5 linked regions of the Coturnix japonica genome follow. The protein of the gene in region 1 purifies or fractionates together with the protein of each later gene. This does not show direct contact. Links are inferred from orthologs where the notes say so. Each region holds a gene or a part of one and is shown on either strand. Other genes may lie near its edges. The genes, in order: ZMYND8, MTA1, KDM5A, MTA3 and ZNF687.

What was found.
Region 2: the proteins of ZMYND8 (region 1) and MTA1 purify together in Homo sapiens (affinity purification with mass spectrometry; 3 studies listed by BioGRID and IntAct, with this or other methods). This does not show direct contact. The link is inferred for Coturnix japonica from reciprocal best matches to the Homo sapiens genes ZMYND8 and MTA1.
Region 3: the proteins of ZMYND8 (region 1) and KDM5A purify together in Homo sapiens (affinity purification with mass spectrometry; 3 studies listed by BioGRID and IntAct, with this or other methods). This does not show direct contact. The link is inferred for Coturnix japonica from reciprocal best matches to the Homo sapiens genes ZMYND8 and KDM5A.
Region 4: the proteins of ZMYND8 (region 1) and MTA3 purify together in Homo sapiens (affinity purification with mass spectrometry, with the first as the bait; 3 studies listed by BioGRID). This does not show direct contact. The link is inferred for Coturnix japonica from reciprocal best matches to the Homo sapiens genes ZMYND8 and MTA3.
Region 5: the proteins of ZMYND8 (region 1) and ZNF687 purify together in Homo sapiens (affinity purification with mass spectrometry; 4 studies listed by BioGRID and IntAct, with this or other methods). This does not show direct contact. The link is inferred for Coturnix japonica from reciprocal best matches to the Homo sapiens genes ZMYND8 and ZNF687.

What each region holds. Positions count from the first base shown.
Region 1 is NC_029535.1:5,095,502-5,099,011, reverse strand, and holds part of ZMYND8 (protein kinase C-binding protein 1), read left to right. Parts: intron 1-45; coding exon 46-159; intron 160-1,792; coding exon 1,793-1,885; intron 1,886-2,575; coding exon 2,576-2,663; intron 2,664-3,094; coding exon 3,095-3,150; intron 3,151-3,510. UniProt on the Homo sapiens protein: Chromatin reader that recognizes dual histone modifications such as histone H3.1 dimethylated at 'Lys-36' and histone H4 acetylated at 'Lys-16' (H3.1K36me2-H4K16ac) and histone H3 methylated at 'Lys-4' and histone H4 acetylated at 'Lys-14' (H3K4me1-H3K14ac).
Region 2 is NC_029523.1:3,968,278-3,972,389, reverse strand, and holds the start of MTA1 (metastasis-associated protein MTA1), read left to right. Parts: upstream 1-1,312; 5' UTR 1,313-1,559; coding exon 1,560-1,587; intron 1,588-2,064; exon of another isoform or gene 2,065-2,079; coding exon of another isoform or gene 2,080-2,098; intron 2,099-4,112. UniProt on the Homo sapiens protein: Transcriptional coregulator which can act as both a transcriptional corepressor and coactivator. Acts as a component of the histone deacetylase NuRD complex which participates in the remodeling of chromatin.
Region 3 is NC_029516.1:52,328,289-52,332,511, forward strand, and holds the start of KDM5A (lysine-specific demethylase 5A), read left to right. Parts: upstream 1-1,421; 5' UTR 1,422-1,910; coding exon 1,911-2,075; intron 2,076-4,005; coding exon 4,006-4,083; intron 4,084-4,223. Other genes in the region: CCDC77 (coiled-coil domain-containing protein 77), read right to left, coding at 213-420, 605-651. UniProt on the Homo sapiens protein: Histone demethylase that specifically demethylates 'Lys-4' of histone H3, thereby playing a central role in histone code. Does not demethylate histone H3 'Lys-9', H3 'Lys-27', H3 'Lys-36', H3 'Lys-79' or H4 'Lys-20'.
Region 4 is NC_029518.1:21,251,514-21,255,550, forward strand, and holds the start of MTA3 (metastasis-associated protein MTA3), read left to right. Parts: upstream 1-1,236; 5' UTR 1,237-1,346; coding exon 1,347-1,374; intron 1,375-3,122; coding exon 3,123-3,190; intron 3,191-4,037. UniProt on the Homo sapiens protein: Acts as a component of the histone deacetylase NuRD complex which participates in the remodeling of chromatin.
Region 5 is NC_029540.1:2,270,660-2,274,643, forward strand, and holds the start of ZNF687 (zinc finger protein 687), read left to right. Parts: upstream 1-1,182; 5' UTR 1,183-1,311; intron 1,312-3,984. Other genes in the region: PSMD4 (26S proteasome non-ATPase regulatory subunit 4), read left to right, coding at 155-322. UniProt on the Homo sapiens protein: May be involved in transcriptional regulation.

The sequences.
Region 1 (3,510 bases):
CCTAGAAATGTTACTGACACAATATCTTTTCATGCTAATTTTTAGAAAATCACAGTTGCAGAATGCATAGAAACACAGAGTAAAGCTATGACAATGCTCACCACTGAACAGCTATCGTATTTGCTGAAGTTTGCACTACAGAAAATGAAACAGCCAGGGGTAAGGAAGATTTCTTTTTTAATGCTTGTTTTGTATGTTTGTCATAATATTGGGTTTTGCTTCTTTTTGTTGATCTGAATCTAGCTTATTTTATCAGGTTCTCTGCCATGTACCACCCGCATATTACAAACAGCCTAGTTCAGACTGTGTATGCTGTTTTGGAATGCATGCAAAACACAGTTCCTTGATGCAGCTTCTAGTGATAGTTTCAGTGGATGCAGTGAAGATACAGCATAGCTTCCCAATGGGAATTTGTGCTTTCTCACTCACTGAAACTGAGCAATGCTGTGTCAAGTAATTAATTATAACCTTTAAAAACCTGGCTTTCCTCTGGTTAGTAGGAATTGTTCTCACCACAAAAATTAGTTCTATCGTATACTTGGGAAACACTGAAGAATTTTTTCTCAGTGACATCCTGTGCCACCAACTTGCGTACTGTAGGAATCTGCATGAACTTCTATCACAGAGGGAAAATGTTGTTTCCTCTAACTTTTACTAGTCTGTCTCAGTGTCTGTCTCAGACTTAACCCTCAAAATCATCAGTGCCTCCTGAGTGTTTCACATATTCCAGTCCCTCATTCTTTCTTCAAATTTCTGATTGCTCATTTTTCACTATACAAGCTTTGACTAGTTTTCACATGTGGGAAGAAAAAAAGTGTAGTAAGATGTTTTAATGGATTGTCATGGCTTATTTGAGCTCCTATTGCTATCCTGTCCCTGTAAATAAATTAGAGGAGTCTCTGTGCTTTACATACAGTAAAATATATTGGAAAAACCAGATGTGTGGAAGGAATCATGGCTGCTTTACAGCTCTGGTGTCTGCATGATAAATATTTTATCAGAAAAATAGTGACAGTTTCTGGGAAGGTTACTCTCTAATGTCGATAAACTTCAACTCTTGGAGTAGTTTAACTCTGGAGTGGTAAGTAGCCTCCTCTTAGGAGTCAATAGAAGCTTTAAATGCTGCTTTTCAGAAGCAAAGTATCAGTGTTTGTTTATTTTGAGTTGACAAAATATTTTGAATGTGCAGCTAGAAAGGCAATGTTTAATGAATGCTATGGGGATATTTTGCCCTTTAGATACTTACCTGCTGTTGTGGTGTCTGATAGCTTTATTTGGCTGTGTTCAGAGAACTGCAGCCCTTCCACAACAGCAGATAAAGTGTGGAGTCCCACTGATGGAAGTTTGACCTTATCTGCAAGACACCATTGCTCTGACAGTTCTGAGACTCAGAAATAATTTTATCAGTCTCGGAACTTTCAGAGTTATCTAGAGTTAGAAATAACTTTGTCAAACTCTAGATAAGGGGAGTATTTACTCTACTAAAAACTATCTGCTGAGCCTCAGCTAATGCTCTGCTCAAGAAAGAACTACTGTAAATAAGAACAGTCCGTTTTACAAAACCCCCAAGGCTTGTAATTCATTACTTCCAGCACATGGAGAATCAGCAATGTGAGGGCATTGATTTCCTCATTTTGCCAGTACTGTGTTAGTTCACAAATTTTTACTATTACTTTTAAAGAATTTTCTCTGATACCACAGTTGAAAGTAGTATTAGAAAAAGAGTGACTATTGAGTTGTTGATGAAATTGTTCAGTATGAAGAAGCAGTGTGATTTGTTTTCTCCTCACAGACAGAGCCATTTCAAAAGCCAGTTTCACTGGATCAACACCCAGATTATGCAGAATATATCTTTCATCCAATGGACCTTTGTACATTAGAGAAGGTTTGTATAAGGCAAAGACCTTTTGAGTTTGATGCTATGGTTAAGCTTTCTGGGTTCTTTGATGAGAGGAAGAGAGATTGCTTGAAATTATTTAAGTGTTTTGATTACAGTTTTGTTATTGTAAAACAACAATGTGCCAATTGAATGTGTCTGTTACAGTCTGAGCTAATAGTAAATGCTCAGGAAAAGCAGTATATGATTTGCCTTGGGACCAGCTGAATGTATGACCAGAGGTCATTCCAGGCTCATTTGCTGATCAAACATTAGAACTTACAGATGTAATAAATACTAGAATATCTGCTGCTGAGATGTGGGAGAAGAAAACAGTAAAGAAGTGGATTACAGGAGTTTGTCGGTTTAGTAATAAGTTAAATGTTTCAAGTTACAAAGTTCTTCATTCCCTGTTGCTTTAATAATAGTATAGCAATGCAGAGCTTTGTTGTGGTAGTGCCTGGTGATGAGTCCTTATTCTCTACGCCCTGGGAGCAGAGATCAGTGTCTTTGTGGCATAAAGGTGTAACAAATCCATGTCACTGATTTGATCTAACTGAATTACTTCACCCAGCTGTTGGGCTGAAATACCAAAAACTGGCTTATGGAGTACAGAAAATATTTTTTTTTCTGGGTTCAGGAAGATGCGAGTTTTACTCATATCTGTTTCCTGATACGTTTTTAAATGTTTCTTTCCAGAATGTTAAAAAGAAAATGTACGGTTGCACTGAAGCATTTTTGGCTGATGCCAAATGGATTTTGCACAACTGCATTATTTACAATGGGGGTAAGCACAGATATGGTGAAAGTATCTTCCTGCTAAATGCTGTAGTTTTAAACATGACTATTTTAAAAAAAAACAAAAAACAAAAAAACCTACATTTACACTTAATAGCAAATACTGCCTATGCTGTCCCTTTCTCAGTAGGAGAGCTAACTGAGGACATGTCCATTACTGAGTAGTGTGTCACAGCTGGGCAGGCTGCAACAGGCATAAAAAGGGAATGCACAAAGATTTTTCTGTGCTGTGTTTGCTGGGAAGAGCCTGTCACTGCTTCTACAAGCATGTGTTTGATATCTACCTGTTTTGCATTGTCTTTTCTGATGTTCTATGTTGTCTTCAACATAAACTTTTTATAACTAAAACCTGTTGATTTTTATCATCATTTTATACTAATGGTTTGCTTGCTTAGAGCATTTTTCTTATTGTCTCCTCAGGAAATCACAAATTGACACAAACAGCAAAAGTCATCATCAAAATCTGTGAGCATGAGGTATGTGGACCGCAGGGAATCTGGTTGTTCTATCTGTATTTTTGAAGTATTCCATTGCTTGTATTTGTGATTGAAATGTTTCCTAATGTGTGTGTTACAAACTATACTTTGTGTAGGGGATGCATATCCATGCCTTATAGAAGGCTTTTGACAAGGGCATTGCTAATAATACTTCCATTAAGGTACTCACCGTATGTGATAAAGGTCACAGCGATGGGAGAGAAGATGTGTGGGATCTGCACAAGGACACCTGTCTTCTAAATGGATGCTTGGAGGTGGAAGAAGAAACAGATGTTCTGATTTGTAGGCGTGTTTGAGGTGGTTCATTTGATGTCCCAGTACAAAAGCCCTGTGATTAAA
Region 2 (4,112 bases), on another chromosome or scaffold:
TGTGTGTGTGTACGTGTGAAAGGAGCGCTGGGTGTGTTTCGTGTTGGTTTGTGTCTTGGTGTAACTTTGTACACCCCAATTCACCGGGTTACACCGGAGGGAGACAGTAACGCTGCTGGGAGAAGGGCTCCCACCTTGCTTGGAGATGAGGGCTCCTTGTGGCACTGACCTGGTTTGACTGTGCTGGTGAGCAGATGAGATGGGTTTTGTGGTGTCGTGCTGCACCTTGTGCTTGTTGGTCCTTTGGGTTTCTGGAGATAAAGGCTCGTCCCCAGCTCTGTGGATTGGTCACCTGCTGCCCGTGCCAGCGGGAAGCAGCTCACACAGGAAGGCCCCACCTGGTCCTTTCCCACCAGCAACAGGCACGGAGGGAGCAGCACAGAGCCAGGATTGGGGCATTGCACGTTGTGGCTCAAAGCTCGAAGGGAAGACCCTGTAGAGAGGGGCTGAGCTGATGGCTGCTGCTGGGTGTGCAGAGGTGGGGGGTCCTGGAGCAACAGTGGGTGCGATGCTTCTGTCCCCAACCAGCGGGTCCTTGGTTTCCATAGGGAATAGCACTGCTCTGCAGCACTGCGGGGCAATGGGGAAGCGCTGTGCTGCCATGGATGCTGTGTGCTGTGCTAACAGCCCTGCCCGGCCCGCAGCACTCGAGGGCGCGTTACCACTTTGTAGACTCCCGAGTTGTCCATCTGTTTCATTGTCGTCTTGTTTGGGTTCTCGGTTGTTTCTTTTTATTTTTATGACGAAAGTTCAAATGTAAATAGCCTTTCTTGGTTGTTTTTTGTTTTGTTTTGGGTTTTTTTTGTTGGTTTATTTTTTTGGTTTTTTTTTTTTTTTTGAACAAACTGCAACGTGCTCGACCTCGTCAACTATTTTATGGTACTAATGCAACACTAATAAAACTGGACATGAAAGCACATCCCCGTCCCTGGAGTCATCTGTCAGCAGGGGCTGTTTGGCAGGAGGAGCCGCTGGGTGTCACAGCCGGCACAGGGGGATGGATACAGGGGTGGGAGCGGGGGGAACCGAGCCTGGCGAGAGGGCAGGGGTGAGCTGCTAAGGGCTGGGCGGTGCGGGCTGTAGGTGCGTATTGCGGCTCGTTGTCCTCCCTTGTGGCTGGCAGCACGCGAGGACACGCGGTGCTGAGCGTGAAGCCCGTCGCTCCGCCCGTCGCCGCTGGGCTCCCCCAGGCCGGGCGCGGCGCTCTCCGCCCCACGCTGCGCTCCGTGCCGGCCGCCTCCTTCCTTCCTTCCTTCCCTCCCTCTCTCCTTCCCTCCCTCCCTCCTTCCTTCCCTCCCTCTCTCCTTCCCTCCCTCTCTCCTTCCCTCCCTCCCTCCCTTCGCTCCCGTCCCGCCGCCGCCCCGCCTTCCTCCCGCCGCCCTCCCGCCTTCCTGGAGCGGCCGGGCGGCAGCCGGCGCGGCCCCTTTAATTCCCCCCGCTCCCCTCCCCCGCCCGGCCGTTTCAGCCTCCATTTTCCAGCGGATCCGGCACCTGGAGGAGGAGAAGGAGAAGGAGGAGGAGGCGGCGGGAGCGGCCCGCGCCCCGCACCCGTCCCGGGCATGGCCGCCAACATGTACCGGGTGGGAGGTAGGCGCTGCCCCCGGACCGAGGACCGGCCCGGCCGCGTGCGGGCGGCGCTGCGGGCCCGGCGGGCCGAGGATCCGGCGTTGGGGCGAGGCCCGGCCCGGGGCGGGGCGGCGGGGGTAGGCCGCGAGCGGGGGCGGCCTGGGGGGGGGATGGAGGCCGCGCGGGAGGCCGGGCCCGAGCGGGGAGGACGGGGGGGAAGTCGGGAGTGAGGATGGCGGCGGGGTGAAGCGGGGTGAAGGGGCGGCGCGGGGAGACCGAGGGGCCGCGGGGGGCGGCCCTGGGTGGAGCGGGCGGAGGTTGGGGCCCACCCGGGAACGGCTGCGCGGGGATGGGGCCGCCAGGGGCCGCCGGGCCGTGGGTCGGGCCTCTCCCCGTGTGCCATCCCGGCCCGGCGCCCATGGGCCGCTCGTCCTTTGTTTTAACTCTCGAGGAGAGGAGAGGAGAGGAGAGGAGAGGAGAGGAGAGAGGCGGCGGGGTCCGGCGTGCGATGTGATGGAGTATCAACAGCCGGGTGGGCCGGCGTGGCTTTGCGCTCAGCCATTTTCCTTTGCGAGAAATGTTGTGCGGAACTTCCTTCTCCCCGCGTCCGTGGGGCTCCGGGGCAGCCCTTTGTGATGGGCTGCAGTAAACACGCAGTAAAGTAAACGGAGGGGAAAAAAATACAGCGGAGGTGTCCGAGCCGCCCTGCCCGGCTGCTCGCCATCCTTCGCTACTTTCTGTTCTGTCTGCCTTTCTGGGCCGGCCTCACTCCGTGCCTCCTTTGTGGCAGTGTGGTGCGGTGTTGGTTTACAGATGGATGATGAGCTGTGCCTCTGGGCCGGCCTGCCGCTGCTTCCTGTGCTGCCCCGGCAATGGATGCGCGTGTGGAGCCGTGTGTTGGGTTGTGGTGCTCAGAGGACAGGGATGGAGTTGAGCCTTGTGAACTTACGGCTGGGATGCTGGTGTGAATGGCAAAGGGAATCGCTGTTTGGTGTTTAATATCGTGTATGTGAGTCCTGAGTGCTGTACTGGTGTGTATCTTGCATGGTACCTGTACTGTGTGCCCCGTAGGCTTGTACAGGCAGTGGGAAGGGGCCCGTGCTGGAGATGTATAGGCTGCTTGCTGTTGCAAGTCAGCTCATTGCACAGCAATGGGTAAGTGCAGCCCAGCCGGGGTATTGCTACGGATGATGATGCTGGGATGGTGTCCTTGGTCTGGGCCCATCCCGGTGCTGGATCATACTTACAGCAAATGAACCCATCCTTGTGCTGGGGTGGTGTTGGTGTGTTGCCAGTACCCAGCAGCAGGCGGAACCCGGCCTCTCTCTGGCTGCACTGCTGAGGCCATGGTGAGCGGTGCTGGGCAGCTGTGCTGTGAGGCTGCATGCTGCCACTTGGGCAGTTGTTTTTCCAGGTGTCTTTGTAGAGCCGCTCCGTAGTCCTGCTGTGCTCCTGCAGCTGCCCACCCCAGGTGCAGGGTTCCCTTGGCCTTAGGTGAACTTAGTGAGGCTCTTGGCATCCCTTTTCCCGGCCTGTTGAAGTTCCTTCAAACAGCAGCCCTGTCCTCCAGTGTGTGCCACGTCTCTCACAGTTCCCCACATGTCCACAGAGTGCATTCCCATCACTAGAAAGGTGATGGGAAAGGCTGTGGCCCCGTGTTGATCACATGGCTTCTCTTAGTGGCAGCCAGCTGAGGGTCGTCCCTGTGCAGCCAGCCTTCATCTCTGCAGGGAGCCCCATTGCTAGGGCATGCTGAGCCCCTGCTGTAGCCATTTGGCTGATGTCGGTCACCCCTGTGTGCTTGGGAATGGTGTCCGGGCTTTGCTCCACAACCTCCGCAGGCAGAGGGTGAGGCGCTGGCTGGTGGCCAGTTCCTGTGCTCGGGTGTTGCTCTTGTGGATGAAGCCTTGCTGGGTGTGCTGCCGAGCCCCACGTGTGGATGGATGTGGCCATTTCTGTGCTGCGGCCCCGTCCTGAGCCAAGAGGTTGCGTTGCTGGGTTGCTGCTGACCTCTGGTGCTGGTGGCTGTGTGCTGAAGTTGTGTGTGCGTTCCAGGGCGGGATTAAATCCCCAGCTGATTTGTACACGGTCACTTCGTGTACTTCCCATTGCAGGAAGAGCATCCAAGAGATAATCCACCGCTGGCCTTGTGGTTACCAGTCGCGTGCGTGAACTGCAGACCTGACAGCTGCCAACAGCAGCCTGTGTGATGGAGATCAATAACACTCCTGGAAGCGCACGTTGATCGCTTTTGGCCGGCTTGTGAAACGCTGTGGGTTTTGCTTTTGTGATCCAATGTGTGGACTGCGCTTCTCTGACAGATGCCAGTGTTAAGTTAAGCACGTTGACAGCTGTTTGCACGGGCTCCCCGTGCAGGAGGTGCTGCAAGCTCCACTTCTGCTCTGTGCCTTCCCCAGGAGTTCAGCTGCAGCCCCAGTGTCCCAGCAGTGCTGTAACTGACAGAGCCCCGCTGCAGGTTGATCTGCTGTGTTATCCCCTTGATGCAGCACAATGACAGGTGGTTTTTTTTGTGTGCGTTTCCATCT
Region 3 (4,223 bases), on another chromosome or scaffold:
CAAACATACACCTTTACTAGATCAGGTTGCCCAGGGCCCCGTCCAACCTGGTCTTGAACACCTCCAAGGACGGGGCATCCACAACCTCCCTGGGCAGCCTGTTCCAGGGCCTAACCACTCCTAGTAAAGAACTTCCCCCTAACATCCAACCGCTTGTTGGTTTGGTGGCTTTTTTTTGTTTGTTTGTAATCAAATAAGGCTCTTTTCCTAACCTGCTCATCGTATGTTTCTTTATACTTCTCCAGCCTTTTTACCAGATCCTCATGCTCCTCATCAAAGTCAGCAATCCTCTTGCGGTAATATTCCAGCAGCTCCCGGGAAGGGCGAAGGAAGGCCAGGCGTTCATTGATGGAAGGGAGAGGAGTGGAGTCCCCTTTACTCCGAGGCTGAGATCTGGATGTGCTGTGAGGGGTCGCCAGCCTAGAAATAACAGAACACAGGAGATGGGGAAAACTTACAGAAAAGGGAGGAAGTTGGCAGGGTAAGGGGGGTCCCACGGCTCATTTAGGAAAGGTGAGTTGGAAAGGAAGGTGGTAAGAAAAGGAGATGAAGGAAGACAAAGGAGTTTCGCAGTTACAAGCAGTACCACAGCACCACACGGTACCTTCTGGAGCGCGAGAAGCGCCTAGCCGAACCGCCCGCAGCGCTCATGGACAACAACGCCGGTTACCACTCAAACAGCGTACAGACCCGCCGCCCACCCAATCTACCAATCAGGAGCAGCCTTCCACGCGCCTCCGTCTGTCTCTACCAATCAGTACTCGCGACACGGACAGCACGCGTCTCTCGCTGGCGCCTGTGGGAGTTGTAGTTTTGGGAGGGGTCCTGCAGAGCTCTGATCCAAGTGTGTTATTTGACATCACTTACGTGCTTTTATCACCCATTTGATGCCCACGCCTCAGGTATCTTTATACACAGCGATCACAGTATCACAGTATCGTGTGGGTCGGAAGGGACCTTAGAGATCATCGAGTCCAACCCCCGGGATTCGAGCCTCTGTGTAGCACAGCGGCACTTCTACCTCTTGCCCCACAGGGGGATTCGAACCCAGGGCCCTGGTGTTACAACGCGGCATTCCTACCACTGCGCCACCGGGGCGCACAGCGATGTTCCCTGTATCTTCCCTATATCACCCAGCGCTACCATCCAGGTCCATACACAGGGGGTACCACGGAGACACCTGAGTTAAAACAGCTCCTCCCCTCCCCCGCCCTCGGGCCCGACAGCCCCAGTCCATGGCGGGGCCGGCCCTCCCCCCTGACGTCCTGCTCACACAATGGGCGAGCCGGCCCCTCAGCACGGGAAGTGAACGGCTCTCAATAGCGTCGCACATTCCTCCGCGCAGGAAGTGGAGGCGGCCCCTTCCCCCCCCGACCCCAATTCCCCTCCCCCCGGCCGCTCCGGCCGCCACGCCGCACGATTCAGCTCCAAGTGCCGCCCCGAGTGCTTTTCTTTTCGGTTTCACCGGAGCAACGTCTTCTCCATTGGGTGGGGGCGGCAGGCGGCCTTTCCCTGTGCCCTGGTGGAGGGACTATTTTTCGGCTCGGAAGACGACAGCTGCTCCCTCTTCCGGAGGAGGGTTGAAAGCGGCCGCGTAACTTCCGGACGAGCTGGAACGCGAGCCAGAGGGGCTCGGCGCGGGGGGAGCCGACCCCGGGGGACGGGGCGACGACGACGACACCCGGCAGGAGCCGCCCCCGCTGCCCCCGCCGCCCCGCCCCGGCTTACCCTGCCCTGCCCTGTCCGGCCCTGCCCTGCCTCTGCCTTGCTCCGGCCGCCGGAGGATGCGCCTCGGCCGCCGGCCCTGCCCCGCCGGCCGCCCCTGAGGGCCGCCCCTGTGTGGCCGTGCCTCGGTGCCGCTCCCCGCCCCCCTCCCGCAGCCGGCAGCGCCTTCCCCCCCCTCCTCAGCCATGGCGGGGGGCGGCGGGTCGCGCTACGCGGCCGAGTTCGTTCCCCCGCCCGAGTGTCCCGTCTTCGAGCCCAGCTGGGAGGAGTTCAGCGACCCGCTCGGTTTCATCGGCCGCATCCGTGGCTTGGCCGAGAAAACCGGCATCTGCAAGATCCGGCCCCCCAAGGTACCGCCCGCCTGGCGCGGGGGTAGGGCGGGATGCAGCCGGGACCGGGGGAAGCCGGCGGCTGTGGGGCGCGGCGGGCGGCTGGAGAGGGCCGGGCTCTGTCCATGGGCGGCCCCCGGGGTCGGGAGCCCCTTCCTCCGCTCCTCGAGTGTTTCCGGCCCAGTTTGCGGTACTCGCTGCGGTTGGGATCCCCCTGAGGCTGTTGAGTTCCCGTGCCCCGGTTGCGGGGTTCCGTTTGTCCCCTTCCTCAGGTTACGTCGAGGGCGCAGAGACCCTGACTTGCGGAAACAAACTCTATAATCCAGAGATGGGTTATAAAGCATATATGCGATCCTTGTACTTAGAAGTGGTTTTGAAGCGGGTGAGAAGCCCGTAGGCACGGCCAGGGCCTGGGCTTGACACTCTTCTTGCTTTAAAAACCAGCAAACAGCGTGTCGGAAAGCTGCAGTGCGTTGTAGCTGAAAGTAGGCATTTACACTGTAAGAGCTGGGGGGTGGGGAGGGAGGAGGAAGGACGGGCCTTGCAAGGGGGCCATTGTTTGTAAACAGCCTTCAGGCTGTTGGTGGAAGTGCGGCCACCCTGGTTGTGCGCAGGAGTTTAGTGTTGGTGTTAGCAGGTTAGAAAGCAGGAGCTGAATAATATCTCCAATGGCCTGGTGCAGAAAGGAGTGTTTTATGATGCCTTGTTCTGTGACCGTTCAGACAAGAACATCAAGCAACGCAGGAGCTCAGAGCCTTCTTCATAATTAAGTACAAATTAACCTATAAAATAGGAGAGTGGAAAATAACGAAGGAGAGAGAAAAAGAATGTGGAAAAAAAAGGAGCTAAGGGTAGCCTGGCTATGGAGACTGCCAATTAGATTCTATGATCCTTCCTTTCCCGATCCACAGGGTTACTGGAATCTTTTTAGGTGGTTTAATGTCATGGTTAAATCTTGACCTCCAAGGGGCTGGCTTTTCTAAAATAAGCAGAATGGCTTAAGGTTTTGGGAGAGGCCACGGGGAACTGATCCAGATCCGATTCATTGAGAGCACCTAGAACTTTCCTAGCCACTGAAGGCTGCAGTGTTTCTCTCTGAGTGTTTGACCACTGTTGTTGCAGGGCTTTGCTGGATGTGTGCATCAGGTTGGTTTGCGACATACAAGATAGAGCTAAGTCGGACACCTGGTGCTAAACTTGCTGATTTGCAATTCTTTTCCATTATTAGAATCTGTAAATATTTTGCAGTTGTGCTTGAGGCCTTTGGATGCTGCAGCCATTTTTTGTCCATCTGTAATGTTGTGTCCCTACTTTGTTGTGTTTACTGCCTGCTAAACTACCTACTGTAATTTTTAACATTTCTTAAGAGGTACTAAAAAGCTGATTTATATTTGTTTTGATGCCATAACGTGGTTTAGAGAGACGAGATGAATCTGGGTGGTGTGAGTGATTGAACCAAGTGCTGACCGTTCAAAAAGTCATTATTTAGGACTGTGCTTCCATTGAAGTGTTGGACTATTGAAATATTAATGTAGGCAAACATGGAAGAGTTACATGCATAGTATTATATGTTATTTGGTGTTTATCGCTGTTGATAGTGACAGTTTTGCAGTGTGCAGGAAATACAGAACTTTCCCTCTTTGAATAAATGCCAACAAGCAGCACAATCTCTGTCTCAATTGAGAGCCTGGTTTGAGATGGGCTATGCTGAATTTCATCAAGCCTTATTTTCTTGCTCACTTCTAACTTTGTGAAGGCTTCTTTCGTCTGACTAAAATGTTGTGAGAACTTTTTAGAAGCACGATAATAGCACAAAACTGGAAAATATTACAAATCCTGCTGAAACTCGTTTACTAGGAGGAGTCTGAATGACCAAGTTATGAAGGTTTTCTGTGCCTTTTTTTTAGTTAAGTTTCTTGAAACACTAAAACGTCTTTCTGTCTCTCCTTAGGATTGGCAGCCTCCATTTGCTTGTGAAGTGCAGAGTTTTCGTTTCACTCCACGAATTCAGCGCCTGAATGAACTGGAGGTGAGCCTTTCCACTGTTGATACAGTTCTGTGTTTACACTGCAAGCTGTAGGTCTCCCTGCTTGAGATTTACATCTTGTCAGGTTTCTGTGTGGGGAGACTTTAGAAACCTGAAGACCGCATTAGTGTTTATACTTGGCA
Region 4 (4,037 bases), on another chromosome or scaffold:
TTCTCCTGCCTTCAACATCTAACCTCAGTTTCACTAACCAGGCAGTAAACCGCAGGAATGAAAATAACCCCCACCTAACTTCTAACCACTTCTATTTGGGTCCATGGCATGGTAGTGCTGTTGTGTCTGGGGAGAACCAGCTGGATAGAGCTGCAACCTCCCATGGGCTTTCTGTCAGCTCTCACTGATGTTCCTGTCAGGAGGCAAAATAGAGGATGATACCAGATCTTTCATTTCAATGCCTGAGTTCGTTGCTGTTTAATAAAGAGGACCACCTGACTGTGTGTTTTGCTTACCAGGTGCACATCATTCAGCAGCTCTGTAGTTTGTTTCACTCAAAGCAGCGTTTCAGAAAGTTAAATATGCAGTAAAAGAAGCCTTCATCTAATCGGCCCTGATTCACGGAAAGGGATAAAGTGAGGAGAGACCACTTGAAACACTGGGGAATTCATTTTTTTCCTCTCAGGATGAACTGAAAATCTTGCTTGGTACTGTTGAGTTGCATTCAGAAAAATCTGGGGTGTGAAACGTGTAACAAATCATCACCATCCTGGCAAGAGAAATGATAAAAAGCCCTTCTCCTCGAAGGGAGCAGCACAAAATTGGCCATAAAGTATATAGTTTGTGGTGGTGTAGATCCTATACAAACACAGGGAGGTGCCTTCCTGTAATATCAACACCGATGTTTTTCAGGCACCCCCCTCATCAGGTGATCTGAGAGCAGCTCCTTCAGCTCTTAGTTAAGCTGCGGGATCTACCTTTGTCTTGTCGGGGATGCTTTCTGCCGCCCCTCGCCGAGCACAGCAGGCAGCTTAAGAAGCCCCAAAGCGAGCTCCCGGGTCACATCCCGCTCTTTGTATGGAGACAAACCCTCTCCCAATCGATCATCAACAGGTGCTGCGCGCACACGCGTGCCAAACTTTCCCCCAGCTGCCGCAAGTAGCCGCCCACGGGGAGAGTGAAGCCACTTGGTTGCAGGGAACAAAGACCCGAGTGGGGCACAGTCACAATGCGGCAAAGGGGTTCAGCCGCAGCACACCGACCCCCAGAGGGAAGCCCCATCTGCGGCCGCACCCCCGAGGAGCCGGCAGGCTGCGGCTGAGCCCCAACACCCGACCCAGGGTCGGTGTGTGCGCCGAAGGGGAGGCGGCATGGGCGGTTTTTAACCCCTTCCCCGCCGGGCGGCTCCGGAAGCGGCGGCCCCTCGAGGCGCGGCGCTGTGTCCTGTGCCCGGGCGGGGAGGGCTGGCTCAGGGTGGGGGCGAGAGCGGGGCGGGGGGGCCGCGGGAGCCGCTCCCTCCTCGCCCAGCCCGGCCCGGCAGCGGGAGGAGGGCGCAGAGCGCAGACATGGCGGCCAACATGTACCGAGTGGGAGGTAGGTAGCGGCGGGGCAGCGACCGCGGCTCCGCGCCCCGCAGCGCTCCCCACCCGCCGGGCTGCGAAGGGGCTCCCCGGTCCCCTCGCCTTCCTTCTGCGGCGCCGCGACCCCGAGCGGGGCACCCGAGCCGTGCCCGGGGGGGAAGCGGAGGACGCAGGTTCCTCCCCGCAGCCCCGCGCGCAGGGTGGGAGGCCGCCCCGCGCCGAGCGGCACAAGGGCAGCGCCGCCCTCCGCAGGGAAGGAAGGAAAGAGGGAGCGGCGGCGCCGGCTTCTTCCCGGGCCGGGCATGGCCGCCCTTTGCGCCTCTCGCCGTGGCCGTGCGGGCTTGGGCGGCCTGGCGGGCGCTGCGCCCCCGGCTCTCTGGCACGGCCGGGCCCGGCCCTGCTGCGGCCTGGCGGGCCCGGGCGGCGTGGTGCGGGCAGGAGGCGTGGGATGAGCCCTCCGAGTTCCTGCGCGCCTCCCTGCATCTCTTGGAGATGAATTACGCATCCGCACGGGTAGATGGAGGGGATCTGCCGGCCGGGTTAGGTCGCTGGTAGATGGCCGCTTGGCGTACGGCGGGAGCGAGGAGTCGCTTGGGAGCAAAACAAGCATTGGGTTTCCCACCCCCAACCCGTCGAAACTGACTCTGATAACTTTCCATCCCCCCCTCCTTCTCCCCCGCCGTGGAATGAACGTGGCACTGTTCCGGTGCTGCCGCTCAGGTGCAGCGCAGAAAGTTCGCTTTTCACTCCTGGCTCCTGTTCCTTGCTAAGCACGATGCTAACAGGGAGCCGTGCTCTCCCACCCATCTCTTCAGGCTCTTTCTGTGTCAGTTTCAAGGTGTGCTGACATACCTACCACTCGCCCTTCTGCACACTCCTTCATCCAGGCGTAGAGGCTGTAATCCCATCAGCCTTTACTCATCGCAGTAATCCCCTCCCAAGCAATGCTGTTGACATCTTGGTTGGGTTTGTTTCTTAGGTCATCATTGAGTCCCCGTTTTTTTTCTGCTGTGACCTTAAGGGTGAGCAACAGAGACCTTACTCTTCCTTCAGTGATATTTGAGCTTCCTGAGGCTCTGCTTGGCTTTAACCTCATGTCAAAGCATAGCAAAAGGTTTTATACATCCATATGGTTCCTCTAACTCCCTATTCTTTTTAAATAAAACTTGTGAGATACACCATGCAATAAGTCAGATACTGAGTGCAGAATGTGATTGTCATTCAGTGGCTACTTTTTTGTTTGATGCAGGTTTTGGGAAACCTACAGAAGAAAATGTTTTTTGTGTTGGTTTTTTTGTTTGCGTCTTGGGAGTAGCTTTAAGGATATGAGCAGATTTCCATATACTCCATGAGAATACTCTTATTTTAATGATCCTAGTAGAGGTTTTGGCACAGGAGAACATCACGACTTGAGGCTCTGTTACTGTTGAATGTAGTTTACATGTTACTGAGCAGAGATGACAACAAAACCAAGTATCATAAAATGCACCATTACTCATCCGGACAACTGTGTTGTTGCAGCATGTGATAATGAGTGTGAGGTAACATATGTTACACAGGTATTATTCCTATAATCTAGAAACTAGCTAAGACCTATCTTCTTAAATCTCCCTTAAAGACAGAATGGTTGAAGTTGGGAAGGACATCTGCAGGTCACCTGGAGGTCACTCTAGCTTAAAAAAAAACCTTTTGCACACACAAAAAAAGTGTTTTTAGCTGTATTATTTTTTTAAATAATACAATGTCTTTTTTTTATTGCAGATTATGTTTATTTTGAAAATTCCTCCAGCAATCCATATCTCATTAGGCGAATTGAAGAGCTTAACAAGGTATGCAAACATCCAAAGTTCCTGCTTAGTTTTCTGCAGCTTTCAATGCACTTTTCCACAACTGAGGGTGAATTAAACATCCCGACAGATTTCAATTGGTAGAATTTCCTGCATCTTTTTTTTTACTTCTTTAGGATTTGTTATGCATTTGTTTGTATTTCAGGTATTAAAACCTTGCTGTGTGATAAGTTGCAATTCCACCCTGTTATCTAAGGAAACGCCCAGTTTAACATTCACAGTGAACAGGAGTTCCCTGTTGTTAAAAGGAAAAAAAAAATAAGAAAGAAAAAAAAGAAAATCCAAACCAATCATGTGGATGATTGAGGAAGTTACTAAATTTAATTCTTTTCATGATGCTGAGGCTGAATCCATCTGGAGTGATAGCAATAATGTAATGTGTCTGCTTCTGGATATGTAGGTAAAGACTTGTCGGTGTCAGTGAGACTTTTCAGTGATCCAGTAACAATACGAGGCTCCTGTGGATGTTTCTTACATTGCTTTTTGTGAGTGGAGGCTTGTGAATTGAAATTGAGACTGTATTCTCTGTCTTTATGCCGCGTGTATTTTTATATAGGGTGTGGAGCTTTTTCAGTGTGTAGGAAAGGCACAAATATTTCTTAGTTCTGATACTACTATAACTATTAAAAATAATAAAGCAGTGTAATTAATTACTTATTAGTATAATAAACTTATGTAAAAAGTTAACAAGCAAAATGCTTATCATGATGTAAATAAGGATGATATATATATGTGTGTAAATATAAATATATGGCTAATTTATCTTGTAAGCTGAAGTTAATTTTTAAACACACCATGTCATATAAAATATGACTGGAAAAAAATGTTG
Region 5 (3,984 bases), on another chromosome or scaffold:
GGTAAATATGGTATATGGGGGGGTGGTATATGGTATATGGGGGGGGTGGTATATGGTGTATGGGGGGTGTTATATGGTATATGGGGGGATGGTATATGGTATATGGGGGGTGGTATATGGGGTACACAGACACAGCCCCCCCTTTGTCCCACAGGAGGAGGATGACTACGACGTGATGCAGGACCCCGAGTTCCTGCAGAGCGTGTTGGAGAACCTGCCCGGGGTGGACCCCAACAACGAGGCCATCCGGAACGCCATGGGGTCGTTGGCCTCACAGGCCTCCAAGGAGGGCAAGGACAAGAAGGAGGAGGACAAGAAGTGACGGGGTCGGGTCGGGGCTGCGCAATAAAGGAAATAAAGTCTGAAGCTCCGCCCGGTTCCGGACCCGGTCCATGTTCCTGCCCCTATTCCCACCCTGGGGGCGGGGGCAGCGCGGAGGCCACGCCCCCTCCCCCCTTCGCGTCCCCTCCCGGCGTGCACCGCGCCGCCGCAGGATGTTTACGGCGCGGCCCGTGGGCGGGGCTGGGATGATGAGCGGCGAAGGGAACCAATGGGGGAGCGGGCTGGGGGATGTTGTAATCGATTCTGGCCAATGGGAAGAGAGAGCGGGTCGGGGCGACTCATTGGTTCTTTCAGGACGGAAGTGAGGTCGCGTTGACCAACAGGAGAGCGAGGGGGCGGGGCGAGGGCCCAGCTTCCATGAGTGACAGCGCCGCCAACAAATGGGAGAAGACGTGGTGGACCGCTTGGGGCTCCCAGCGGATGGGGTGATGGGGGGGCGGGCCTTCGCCTTGACAGACAAGCGTCTCTTCCAATGGGAAAGCAACAGCTGGGCGGTGCCCTGAGCGACGCTGCGTGTGGCCAATAGCCGTGCGCCTCCTTGATGGATGGGCACCCAACTTTGGCCAATGGCAGGAGGGAGGGGGCGGGCTTGTTTGACGAGCGCAGGTTTCAGCCAATCAGCGGGCGGGCTGCTCGCAGAGCCGCCAATAGGTCGCCGGGAGGGCGGGACCACACTTTCAATGGCTGCCCCGTCCCCCAATAGATGCCCCCTCCGGGGGCGGATCCAGCTCCGACTCCACCAATAGCGAGTGCAAGCGGCCGCGACCACCCGCGAGCGACAGCTCCGCCGACCAATGAGCGCGCCCGCAGCTACGAGTGACATCCGGAAGGTCCAATAGCCCGGCGGCGGGGGGCGGGCGTCAGGGTCCGGCGGCGCAGGGCGGGGGGCGCGGGCCAAGCAGGAAGTGCAGCGAGAAGCGGCCGCCGCAGGTTGGGCCGCAGTTGGGCCCCGCGGCCGCACAGCGCCCGGTGAGGACAACGGGGAGAGCGGGGGGGGAGCGGGAGCGGAGCCGGGGCCGGGGGCGGAGCTCAGGGCCGGGGGGAGGAGCTCAGGGCCCCGACGGGGAACCGGGGCCGCGCTGGGCGCACGGCGCTGGGCCGGGGGTGAAGGGGCTGCAGCTGGAGGGGGGGGGGCTGCGCTTCGGGCCCCGGCAGCGCCCGGTGCGACCGCGGGGCGTCACGGCGGGAGTTGGGCTGTTCGTCCCCTTTATCCCCAGGGGAATCGCGGCCCCAGCGGCCGGTAATGGCCGCGGTTGGGTGCGGGCACCGCTCGAATCGCCGCCCTTCCCCCCCCCAACAACCACCATCACCCGGCCCCTCCCCGCCCCCCCGTGTTCCCTCAGCCCCGTGGAGATGACTCTGCTCCCGCCGTTCCCCATTCCAAACCCGGGGCTCTTTGTGGTTCTCCCCCCTCAGAACGATCCGGCGTTGCGGCTCCGGGGGGTGGGGGGGGGCTCCGTTGTGCGGCCCCGCTCCGTGCTGGGCTCCGTGTTGGGCTCCGTGTTTCCATCCCCGTTTCCAGCAACGGCCTCAAAAACCCCAAAGCTGATCCCGGGTTGGGAGGGAAGCACCAACCAGGAGTAACGGGGGGGGGGGAGCCTTGACCTCAGTGGGTCAACTGGGAGCTACTGGGAGGCTCTGAGCCCACTGGGGCTGATGGGCGGCTCTGCCCATCACTTTAGGCTCGGGTGATGCCCTCTGTGTCCATGGGGGGATGTGGGGCCGCTCTGTGTCTCATTGAATCCTTCTGGAGCCCCACGGCGCTTCCCTCCGGCCTCCCTGACTTTCTTGGCAGGGTTTGAGCCGGAGGGAATGGGCTGTTTTTGTTTTGAGCTCTTGTTTTCTCCCTCTTCTCTCAGTCCCCGGGTCCCTCCCGCCCTCATTTCCCAGCAGCTCCACGCACCATCAGGGAGCAGGCGGCCTTTGGGGGGGCTGCAGTTCCTTCCCCATAACAAACTGCATTCACCAGAGGGTCTGGTGTGGTGGTGGTGGTGGGGGGGCTCATTTATGGCAGCAGCTGCCTTATCTATGGGGCAGACCACCAGGTGTGGGCACAGCTGTGGTGCTGCTGAGCCCTTTGGGGGGAGGATTGGATGCCTGCAGAGCACCTGCTGGCATTCAGAAGCTCCAGCTCAGCCCAGCCAAGTCGTCGGAGGGTTCTGGATCTGCGCCGCCGCTGCTTTGTTTGGTTCCTTCCTGCAGTCAGCAGATGGTGTGGGCTTAATTCTGGTCAACGGGCAGCACTGTAATCCCTGCGGCCGGGCTGCGGGGCCGTCTGCTCAACATGGTCAGGGGGGACCTGTGCTGTGCTGGGGGGGGAAGGACACTGAGATCACAGTGGGGTTGGGGCTGGGGGCTGCACGGCCCCTTCCGACATAGCTGTGCTGTGATCCCATGGTTCTGTGACCCATAGGGTCCCTTCAGACTCCACCTCACTGTCATCCCATGGTTCTGTGACCCATAGGATCCCTTCAGACCCAACCACACTGTGATCCTGCGGCCTTTGAGGTCTCGTCTGACCCAACCATCCCACAACTCCCTGCTGTATAACACACAGGATCAAAGCACCATGTGAGAGGTGTGGGGAGATGTGACCCCACATCCCTGTGCCCACAGATTGCAGACATCCAACGTGTCTCAGCATTGACCTCTGCTTCTCTTCCGAGCTGTTCTCTCCTCTGAAGCTCGGCTGAATCCCTTCTGGTTTTAGATGACAAAACACATGATAGGCCTGGAAATTAGCGAGGTTGGCTAACGAAGGTGGGCACTGCAGAACCAGGAGAGCCTCATTAAGTGCCGTCTCGTTAGGATGGCACCACAATCATTAGGATGGTACATTGATCATTAGGATGTGATGCTGGGGGGGGTCGGTGGTGATGTCAGCTCACTGTTAGAGATGCACTGGGGAGGGAAACAGGAAAAGCAGCTTTAAAAACAGCCCTGGAAACAGCTGCTATATGGGGCTGTGCTGGTGCTGGAGCACAGCTGTCCCCCTTCCCTTCCCCCCCACAAATGCTCTGCCCCATAGCTGAGCTGCTGGGAATGCTCCCCCTGGCAGACGGCGGCTGATGAGGATAAAAATACCCCCCCATCCCCACCCCCCCTTGGAGCTGCCTTTGTTTTGCCAAAGAAAAGTAGTTATTTTGTGCTGAAAAAAAGCCCGGCGGTCTTGTGGTTTGAGCTCCCAAAATAAGCACAAGACAGCCAGGCAGGTCGCAGTGCAGCCACGCTCTGCTGTCTGTGTGGGGGCTCCAGATGCTCCACCTGATAAAGGGGGGGGTTTGGGGTCCGGGTTTCCCCAGGGCAATCGCTGCCCTAATGAGTTGGGGGCCTTCCTGGTGCTGCTTCCTCTGCCCCATGCTGAGCAACCCCCTCCAGACGGGGCTCCCCCTGGGGGTCCTGGAAGGGACTCTGCAAGGAACAGAAACCAACAGCAGCTTCTTGCCATGGGGCTGGGAAAAAGGATATCCAAGGGAACCCCATACAAATGGGGCCAGCGGGGTACTCCCAGCAGTGCTCTGTGGGCCCCGAGGAATGGAGCACTGTGGGCTCCCACAGGGAAGGGGAGGTTTTACCCCATTGCTTTTGGGGACATGTCCAGTGTGGCAGCTTCCCTCAGCATCATGGTCAGTGTTTGTGTCC